2 linked regions of the Schizosaccharomyces pombe genome follow. The protein of the gene in region 2 interacts with the protein of the main gene of each other region in a pairwise test. Each region holds a gene or a part of one and is shown on either strand. Other genes may lie near its edges. The genes, in order: atf31 and atf21.

The links.
Region 1: the proteins of atf21 (region 2) and atf31 interact in a two-hybrid assay, tested with the Schizosaccharomyces pombe proteins (one large-scale study listed by BioGRID).

What each region holds. Positions count from the first base shown.
Region 1 is NC_003424.3:704,260-709,511, forward strand, and holds atf31 (DNA-binding transcription factor Atf31), read right to left. Parts: upstream 3,215-5,252; coding exon 2,585-3,214; 3' UTR 2,570-2,584; coding exon of another isoform or gene 2,429-2,569; 3' UTR 2,394-2,428; coding exon of another isoform or gene 2,145-2,393; 3' UTR 2,103-2,144; coding exon of another isoform or gene 2,033-2,102; 3' UTR 1,994-2,032; coding exon of another isoform or gene 1,378-1,993; 3' UTR 1,343-1,377; coding exon of another isoform or gene 1,270-1,342; 3' UTR 1,232-1,269; coding exon of another isoform or gene 1,074-1,231; 3' UTR 1,035-1,073; coding exon of another isoform or gene 936-1,034; 3' UTR 900-935; coding exon of another isoform or gene 836-899; 3' UTR 798-835; downstream 1-797. Other genes in the region: ATP-dependent DNA translocase Rdh54, read left to right, coding at 1-21, 63-277, 314-504, 557-630, 666-797, 836-899, 936-1,034, 1,074-1,231 and 5 more; SPOM_SPAC1296.01C (phosphoacetylglucosamine mutase), read right to left, coding at 3,796-3,868, 3,909-4,672, 4,720-5,080, 5,169-5,252.
Region 2 is NC_003423.3:1,720,849-1,725,098, forward strand, and holds atf21 (Atf-CREB family transcription factor Atf21), read left to right. Parts: upstream 1-2,164; coding exon 2,165-3,232; 3' UTR 3,233-3,602; downstream 3,603-4,250. Other genes in the region: mRNA guanylyltransferase Ceg1, read left to right, coding at 3,999-4,250.

The sequences.
Region 1 (5,252 bases), on a different chromosome or scaffold from region 2:
ATTTCCGGGAAAGAAATATCTGTAAGATATACATGTAAGCGAATGTTTCTCATCATCTTTAGATTGAGAAGGAAATCTCTGCAGAAAGTTATGAAGCAGGCACACATATAGATGATTCTCTCCGAGACGTTCATATGCCTGAAATGAAGCGTAAATTCAAGCCACCTTTGAGACCTAACACAATGTACCAGACAATATCAGCACTACCCAAACCGAGGCATGATCCTACTGTGCTTGGAGCTTTGGTGATGAGCAGGCCCAAGACTTGGGATCCAAGGTATGGTAAAAGTGAATGCTTGATCTAACATTACAGGACGCATGTAGATGTTGTTATTGATCCTTTCCTTTCAAAGCATCTTTATTCTCATCAGCGGGAAGGAGTTTCCTTTCTTTACGACTGTTTATTAGGAATGGAAGGAAAATGTGGATATAGTGCAATTTTGGCTGATGAAATGGGCTTAGGAAAAACGTTGCAAACTATAACAGTTGTCTGGACTTTATTGAGTATGAGACTTAGGGTTTTTTTTAACTTTCATTCTCTAATCTTATTATTTAGAGCAGTCTTATTACGCCAATCGTTCTTCGACTATAAACAATGCAATGGTCGTAGCACCTGTCACTCTTTTGAAGGTAAGAAGTTTCAAAACTTCATTACTAATGGCTAGAATTGGGAAAATGAGTTTTATAATTGGCTCGGTCACGAGCGTATTCATGTTTATATAGCTAGATGCGCTGAAGATTTCCAAGAATTTACGTCGAACAAAACTTATTCGATTATCATTACAGGATATGAAACGGTAATTCCTTTATTTATTCTTTTTTCTAATTGCTAAAGGTTTGTACGTACTTGAGAAACTATGGATGCGGGATTGATATTGATCTTCTAATTTGCGACGAAGGTATTGATTTGTTCATAAATAGTTTATTAATCTTAGCTCACCGCTTGAAGTCCATGAGTAGTCAGACTTGGATTACGCTGAATAAGCTAAAAACTAGAAAGAGGCTTCTTCTCACTGGTACGCCTTTACAAAACGGTATGAATCAGTGAATGCTATTTAATTTTAACCGCTCAGATTTGTCAGAATATTTCTCTATGGTTAACTTTATAATTCCTGGATCTCTGGGGACCCCAAATTCTTTTAAAGCTCAGTATGAGCGGCCTATATTAAGGAGTAGATCAATGAATGCTTCCTCTAGGGACATATCATTGGGAGCTGCAAGACTTCAAAGGGTTTGTTTACTAAAGATAAATTTTATACTGATTTTTAGCTTTTTGAATTTACAAGCAATTTCACGTTAAGGAGGAAAGCCAATATACTGGCTAAACATTTACCGCCAAGAAGTATGCAAATATTAAAATCAGTATTAACATAATAGCCGACATTGTTTTATTCATAAAACCAACACATCAACAAGAGAATGTTTATGGACATGTTCTCGATGGTTTCAAGTCAAGCGTTGATCAGAAGGGCTATTATCTTAAAATTTTGACTCGCTTGAGCAAGATATGCAATAGCACCATTTTATTGAGAAATGAAAAGGAAAATTTTTTGTCAACGGAGTTGCAAGATAAGCATGTATTCGAGCAAGAGAATATGTTGCTCTCCTCTAGCAAACTGCAAATATTGGCTGCGCTACTTAAAAGTTTCCAAAGGGGTTGCCAAAAAGCTGTTATTGTGTCCCAATATAAAGAAACTCTCGAGTTGATTGAATTGTTTTTATCAATTTTGCATGTCCGTTTCTGTAAATTGCTTGGAAGTACTCCTTTCTCTGAGCGTGATTTAATAGTACACAATTTCAATACTTCCAGCTTCAAAGAATTTAGTGTGCTTTTACTTTCAAGCAAAGCTGGTGGCTGCGGTTTAAATCTTACCGGATCCACTAGGTTAATAATTTACGAACCAAGTTGGAACCCTGCCCAAGATTTGCAAGCATTGTCAAGGATATATAGAAGCGGGCAAAAGCGGCCAGTCTGTATATACACATTTTTAAGGTACGACCGCTTTTACGAATAACATATTAAGTTATGCAGCAGTGGAATGCTAGATGAGCGCATTTTTATTCGCCAAAATACTAAGCAAGGGCTTTCAAGTTCGTTCATAGTATGTGATTTATTATAAAATTTTATACTGACTTGATTGTAGGATTCCGATGCAAGCCAAAAGAAGAATTTTTTTACGGGTGAAGACATCAAGACACTTTTTTCATATTCAAAAACTGAAACTTGCTTGACATATGAATTAGCATTTGATTCTGATGAAATTGATTCATTAACAAAGAAAAAAGATCCGTTAACTAAAATTGACCATACGATTGATTCCCCAAATACGAAGGAAAAAGATAAAGAAATCAGTTCTTGGAAAAAGGCTTCTGAATATATGGATACTAATTTGGTAAGTTGTATTTTCATCCTAATATTAATGGCCAGGGGAAAAAGTGTCCAGAGAACGCATTTCAAGGATGGACTTGGCAATTTCCGAATGACCTAAGTATTATGAATGGCGTAGAAGATTATATCCCTCTTGAGCCTTTACCTATCAACTGTCTAATGCATAAAAAGTTCGAATAGATCTATTTCGGACTTTTAAGGAGGCGTAAGCGGTTTTTCCTTGCCCATTAGAAACAACGCTTTTGAGCAAGCCTTCGATACTGGGCAATCTCTATGAGCAAACACCAAGGTTCTCAGTTTAATTATTTCTTCTCTTAAATCATTAGCACTTTGCAAAAGCTCCTTGTTTTCAGAAGTGTAGTAGTTGACTTGGTCTTGTAATGTTTGTAAGTACTTTTTCTTTTTTATCCTACACTTTTGGGCAGCTTGTCTGTTTCTGGCTTTCAACATTGACTGCTTAGTTCCAGTTAATTTGGAAGTGTTTTCATCACCTGAGTCATCCAGCTCTCGTGATGGTGAGTTGTGTGAAGCCTCGGAAATTATACTGGGGCTTTTAGAGGCAGTGTATTCTGATAATTCATCAAAATCGCTTCTCCTGATATTATATGGATCATTGTTAATAGGGGATCGATCGTCGCCGAGCTCTAAAGCTTTACGTTTGGCTGTCAATAAAATCTGAGTTTGCATAAATTGTGAAAAATCGAGGGTTTGGGAAATTGAGATGTCTTTTTCGAAACGAGAAAGATAAATTGAGTTGTATTCTTCTCCATCTTCATGCTTCGGAATAATGGATTCCTCGGTTGGTGTATTTGTTTCGTAGGTCATGCTGAAAATGATTTATTGATCAATAATTTTTTTAAGAAAAATTTATAGCGTCTTATGAAAGACTTCTTTTTCGCAAACGAGTAGAATTATATATTTGATTTTTTTTATGAGTTTTTGGCACCAACTTCTTTTAATAATCGATTTCAAAGTGATCACTATAAACGATAAAATTTGTACAGCTGGATAATGCCGATTAACTGGTAAATAGGTGAATTATTGAACTTTCCGTCAATATCCTTTATAACAGCTTGATACAAATATGAGCGTTTGTTTGCTCACGCGAGGTTTATATAAGTCCTTTATGAGGGAATATTAAATTCAAGCATTGTGAGGAAGTCCATGTAAACAAACACTTTTTCTTGTGAACACAACAACAAAATTATAATGCCTGGTTATTTTAAAAAATTACTATCAACAAACTGTATACAAGTATATTCGCATATGTATGCACATATTTTTGTTAGATATTATATAAGAATTTGGGTAACCAAAATTATTACTAGATATCCCTAAAAACAACATTAAACAAGACAGTTCCATCATAACCAATTTAGTCATTAACATTTAAATTTAAAAATTGTTTAATGTAATAGTTCAACAATGCGGAGGGCTAAATCCTCAGATTCACCCCTTGAACTAGCTTCCGCATACACACTACAATTAGAGTTAGAATGATAATTAACATTGAACTTACCGAACAGCATCCTCGGTTCCAGATGATCGAACAAATGCCCGACCGCCCGTGTATTTTGCTACCAAAGCGTCAATTTTTTCTTGAAGTCCTTCCGGTGTTACTAGTTTTTGTTCGGCATCAGTAGTAGTATAAATTGACCGGTCTTCTACTTCACAGCGAATTAGACGACTAGGAATTTCGCTATATAGCTGATTCCACTCTTTCAAAGTGCAATTTTTGTGAGCCAAAATGACTTCCACCAAAAGTAAATTAGTAATAGCATCTCCATCAGTTTGATTAATCAATTCAAAGACTGTTTTTAGAGTTTTTAAGGCATTAAATTGGGCTGGAGACAATACTTCATGAGAAATTATCTTTGATAATGCAGCATGAGAGACTAAAATTGTACCATGACCATTTGCTTCAAAAAATACTCCAACATCGTAAGCTTGAGCAGCATGGTAAAGATGCTTAAGACCGGGAGACACACATAAAACCGGTACCTTTAAAGTTTTTTGGAAAAATGCCGTGCTGGCTCCATTTGCATAAGCAGTCTGAACAATACCAACTTGAAGGTCCAAACCAGTAGAACGGATTAGGTCGATTAGAAATTGGGCAAATAAAGCGCATATTTTGTCACCATCTAACAGATGAAAGCTGTGAGAGCCAAACGCAAAATACACAATTCGATCAGCATCCCCGTCAAAAGAGGCACAACGGGCATGTTTTGGGGCACTAATACCGTTTGGAGGCTTTTGCTGAGTCCTTACAAAATCCGCTCCACACTAGTAAATTAGCATGCAATTGTAAACAATGTATCAAAAAAACTTACCGAGTTATTCAACAGTTCAGGATTATCAATATTGTCGTTTACGATTTCGATAGGAAACAGCTTTGGATCAATATACTTGGCCAGTTCTTTTATCTTAGCCGCTCCGACGCCGTTAGCAGCATCTATCAATACAGTCCCTTTAATCTTCTTTCCTGTCATTAAGGATTGATATGCCTTCGACAGCTTTTCAAAATACCCTCTTTCAGTAGGTTCACCTATTGCATCTGGGGTACCATAAGTTTGAGAAGCCTTGACCATGTAGTGTAGCTGAGGTGTAGTTAAAAGGCCAAAATTTTCGTACTTTGCTTTGCAGACCACAATACCGTCAATTACAGCTTGCGCAAGGATTTCTGAAGTAGACCTAAGTATTAGATGTTAGTCTTGGACATAAGATTTAAAAAAGCGGAGAAATTAAGTGATCTAATATCGACAATAAAAGTAAAACAAACCTTGAGTCATAGCCAACAAACACCCGAGCTTCAGAACCGGGAATAATCTTTGCCTTTTTCAAAATTGAAGTTAAACAAACCGTT
Region 2 (4,250 bases):
ATATTGACTCGACGACACATAGTGAATCATGAGTCAGAGTCCGTATGAAGTAATATGTTCCTAATTTGACGGCTGCATTGAAAATTCAGCAATCGGAAGGAATGAATAAGAGAAAAATATTCAAAAGAAGTGAAATAGCTACGTGGGTTAATCAATAGTGTCTACGTCCAATTATTATCTGAGGTATACACATGCAACAATCACGGCATTTACATCTCAGTAAATTAAAATAAAGAAAAATAATATCATTAAATTAAGTCAAAAGGTTTAAAGGTGATATCCTATGAATTCGGGAAATTGCCAACTATATCTTAGATAGTCACATTTCTACCAAATTGACGTAGAGCTTAATTAAATATTCCAGATGTTGCTAAAGTATTCTCATATTGTCAACTGCGAAGTTCAACATCTTTCGATTTGCAGAACTGATTCAATCCAGTGGCTAACTCATGGTCGTATGTACGATCCGTTCTGTCTATTTTGATTTAATGTGACCAAAAGTTAAACTTCATCTCGTGTATAGTTAAAAGATATGATAGTATACATACTAAAAATGAGAATTCTGGCAAACCAGATTTAAATCAATAACATGTTACTCTTGCTTGCGACAATATAAGTAAATGTGGGCAAGAAAGATGAAGAAGTATTAGAAACAAGTTGCGGCTAAATTTTGAGAAAGGATTGATAGCGGAAAGGCTACTAATAGTAATGATATGAGCTATTATTATCAGTAACGATAAAGCCGTTTATGGTGGCGCGCGTAAGAGAACGACAAAATTTGAAGCCTAGGTAGTTTCATCAAAACCATTAAAGGAAATAAATATGAAAAAAGCTAGCAAGAGAGGCGATATTATATTTTCGCATTCACAACTTTACTATTGACGACTACGAATACCGAGGGATAGCGTTATTATCTCTCCACAAGTAATCGGCTATTTTTTGATTGGTTTAAATAAAAGTAAATCCTGATTATATTTGACATAATCTGCATCAAATAGAACTCTAGATTTTCCTTTCCGAATATGGTGGCCAATTAACGGTACGACTGTGATGTAAATATTACACAGTGGAGCGACACGTGAATGTAGTCCCCTTCGGTTAGCTCCTTAAAATGGAGGCCTTAAAGGATAATACTGCTTGACTTTTTTAGCATAGTGCCTTTGTTAATTGCAACAAATCCCTTCAAACAAAAAAAAAATAAATTTTTATAAAGAAAAACTTTTTATTTCTATACGGCAAGTTCATCTCATAAAGTAAACAAATCATTTCCCGATTGGCTACCCTAGCCCTTCGTTTGTTTGTTTTGCAGTGACGTCAAAATTCATCTCACCCGATCAACATATATAAACATTGCGACACAAACCAAAAAGTTACCGACTGCAGCATCATATTTCTCAGCAGAAACGTATTCTTATAGTAATCCAAGTCCAAAATTAAGGAATTGGTATCTTAAACCACCTTAGTACATAGTTCTCTATTGTTTATAAGCCTCTTTACTTGCCAGGGACGCAGTAAGACATTGCTTCCTTCACCACCTTCATTATCCTTTACCTTCTTTCTCTGTCCACCTTATATATATATACTTATTTTCCCAGGAATCCTCACTTTTGCCATTAATCCATTCCATCCTTCTGTAGAACGACGAATTGTCATCCCTTCCTTTATCGTTCGTTCATTTCCTAAAACCGGGACACTACTGCATGCTTAAAACAGAGGAAAAATAAAGAGAGAACACATTTATATAATTGAAAGAAACTTTTCCATTGATAGCTCCTAAGTTTCAAATCACCAACTTGTCGGTTTATACATTCTTCATTTTCTTTTATTTACTTTTTTGAAGAAGTTCACAGGGATCACTATTCAGAAATTTTATACAAAGATATTGCATCCTTATTCATCAATCCAAATTTGCGTCACTTGATCGACCACAATTTGCTTCATCTTCCCTTCCCAATTTGTTTCGCCAGCACCTGAATAACATAGCCTCTTTTTAAGATTTAACCTTCTTCAAGAAATCACTACATATTCGCACTACTAACAAAAAAGAAACTTTCGCTTTTTATTTAGTCCGTTCTTGTATCAACTATCTTCATCGGCTTTACCGTCGAAACCATTTCAACCGCACTCAATAGAAAATTAACTTGCTCATCATCAATCTTCCATCATGGATTTCGCAAATGTGTATCTCGGGTTAGATACACTAGGTAATGAAGGATATGGTGCTAGCGTCAGTAATGGCACTCACCATGATTTTCATTTTAACTTCAATACATTCCGCGATGGTGGTAACCATGAAGTTGGAGAAAAACGCGCTGAATCTAGCGATATCGGAGTATATGAATGTAGAGGTCCAGTCCAGGGACCTAAAGATCAAACATCCTTTCCCTCGAATTCACATAATAACTACGCTTCAATAGTAGGTGATGCTAGCATTGGACATTACCTCAAAGGACCCGAGCGTACTTCAGAGGTATCATTACCTCAAACGGTAAACCTTTCGGAGATTTCTAACAATAATGACAAAGGCCAGCCTACAAATACTCCTCCTGTACGCTCAACAATTGTTGCACCTTCATTATACTCTGAAGGTAGTACTTTGAATCATTATAATAATGGATCTCATCAAGTGCTTCATCCACAATTCCAAAATGGAACCAACGCCCCATACGTAGTGCAGTCAAATCTTATGCAAAACAATGTTAATCTAACAGGAGCGGAACAAGAAAAAGGTTTGGACCTATATAAGAATTCCGCTACTGCGAATAACGATGAGATTTTCTATAATCTTGAATCCTTACGTAGAGAAGGATACTTAAACTCCAACAAGAAGCAGTCTCAATCTCCAAATGGAGACTACAACAGCAGCGATGAGTCCTGTTCCAATAAAACCGTCGCCTCCAGTCAACGACGGGGTACACCTGGCAGTAACAATGTTCATACCGCTAGTAACAATGAAACTCCTGATATGAAGAGGAGGCGGTTTTTAGAGAGAAATCGAATAGCCGCATCGAAATGCCGCCAAAAGAAAAAGCTTTGGACACAGAATCTCGAAAAAACAGCACATATCGCATGTGAGCAGTCGAAAGCTCTAAGGATTTTAGTCAGCCAACTACGTGAAGAAGTAATTTGTTTGAAGAATCAACTATTAGCTCATCAAGATTGCAATTGCGAAGGAATTCGACAATATCTTTCTTCAGAGGCTCAAGGAATTATGTCCTTTCAGAAACATTGAGCAAATGACACCCCATTGAATCAAGTTTCGTAACATTTTTTTATTATACTGTATATGCATTTCTGAGAGCCTGGATAGAATCTTGCAATAGGAGATGCTTAAAAGACGGCCAGTGCTGCTCTACTGCTTGTCTATAGTAATTGTACTTTAACTCTGGCATATTTTATTTTTCTTTTTTCACAATACTATTATTTTCTTCGCGTCACTGTGTTCATGGGATTTGCAATCTCACTCCAAACTCGTTTCATTCAATTGCTTGGGTTTTTCATTCATGTTTCTTCATTAAAAGTGTTTATGTTTCGAAGATCCTTTACGCACGTTTCATTTCCAGATTAATAATTACTGTAATGATATATCTTCCCTATATGTATTTTTTTAATAGGTTACGATTGCTTTACGAACTTGACCTAGATGAGCCAAATCTGTAATCACTGCCATATAATCTGTACCTCGTTCACAGACATGTCATTTTATCTTCAGTACGACACCACAGTTACATATATTGTTTGCTTTGGAATAAAAAAAAAATTAAGTAATAGAATAACACTTTCTGAAGTAAATGGTAGAAAAGATAACAGTATTCGTAGAGCAGCTATAATTATATGCATTTTTGCGTTTTGCAGCAAAAGATCACTATACTGCATAAGGAATTTTTATACAAACCATGTGTCTTTATTTAGTACATTAAGACTATATCCCGTTTCTACTCCTTCAGAAAGTGCTTAAGCCCTCTCTTAGCAAAGAAACGAGTGTATTATTAAAAGGAATGGCACCCTCAGAGAAAGACATTGAAGAGGTATCAGTCCCTGGAGTTTTAGCACCGCGCGACGATGTGAGGGTTTTAAAGACACGAATTGCCAAATTATTAGGAACAAGTCCTGATACATTTCCTGGATCACAGCCAGTTTCTTTTTCAAAGAAACATTTACAAGCATTAAAAGAAAAGAACTATTTCGTATGTGAAAAAAGTGATGGAATTCGTTGTTTACTTTATATGACCGAGCATCCTCGGTACGAA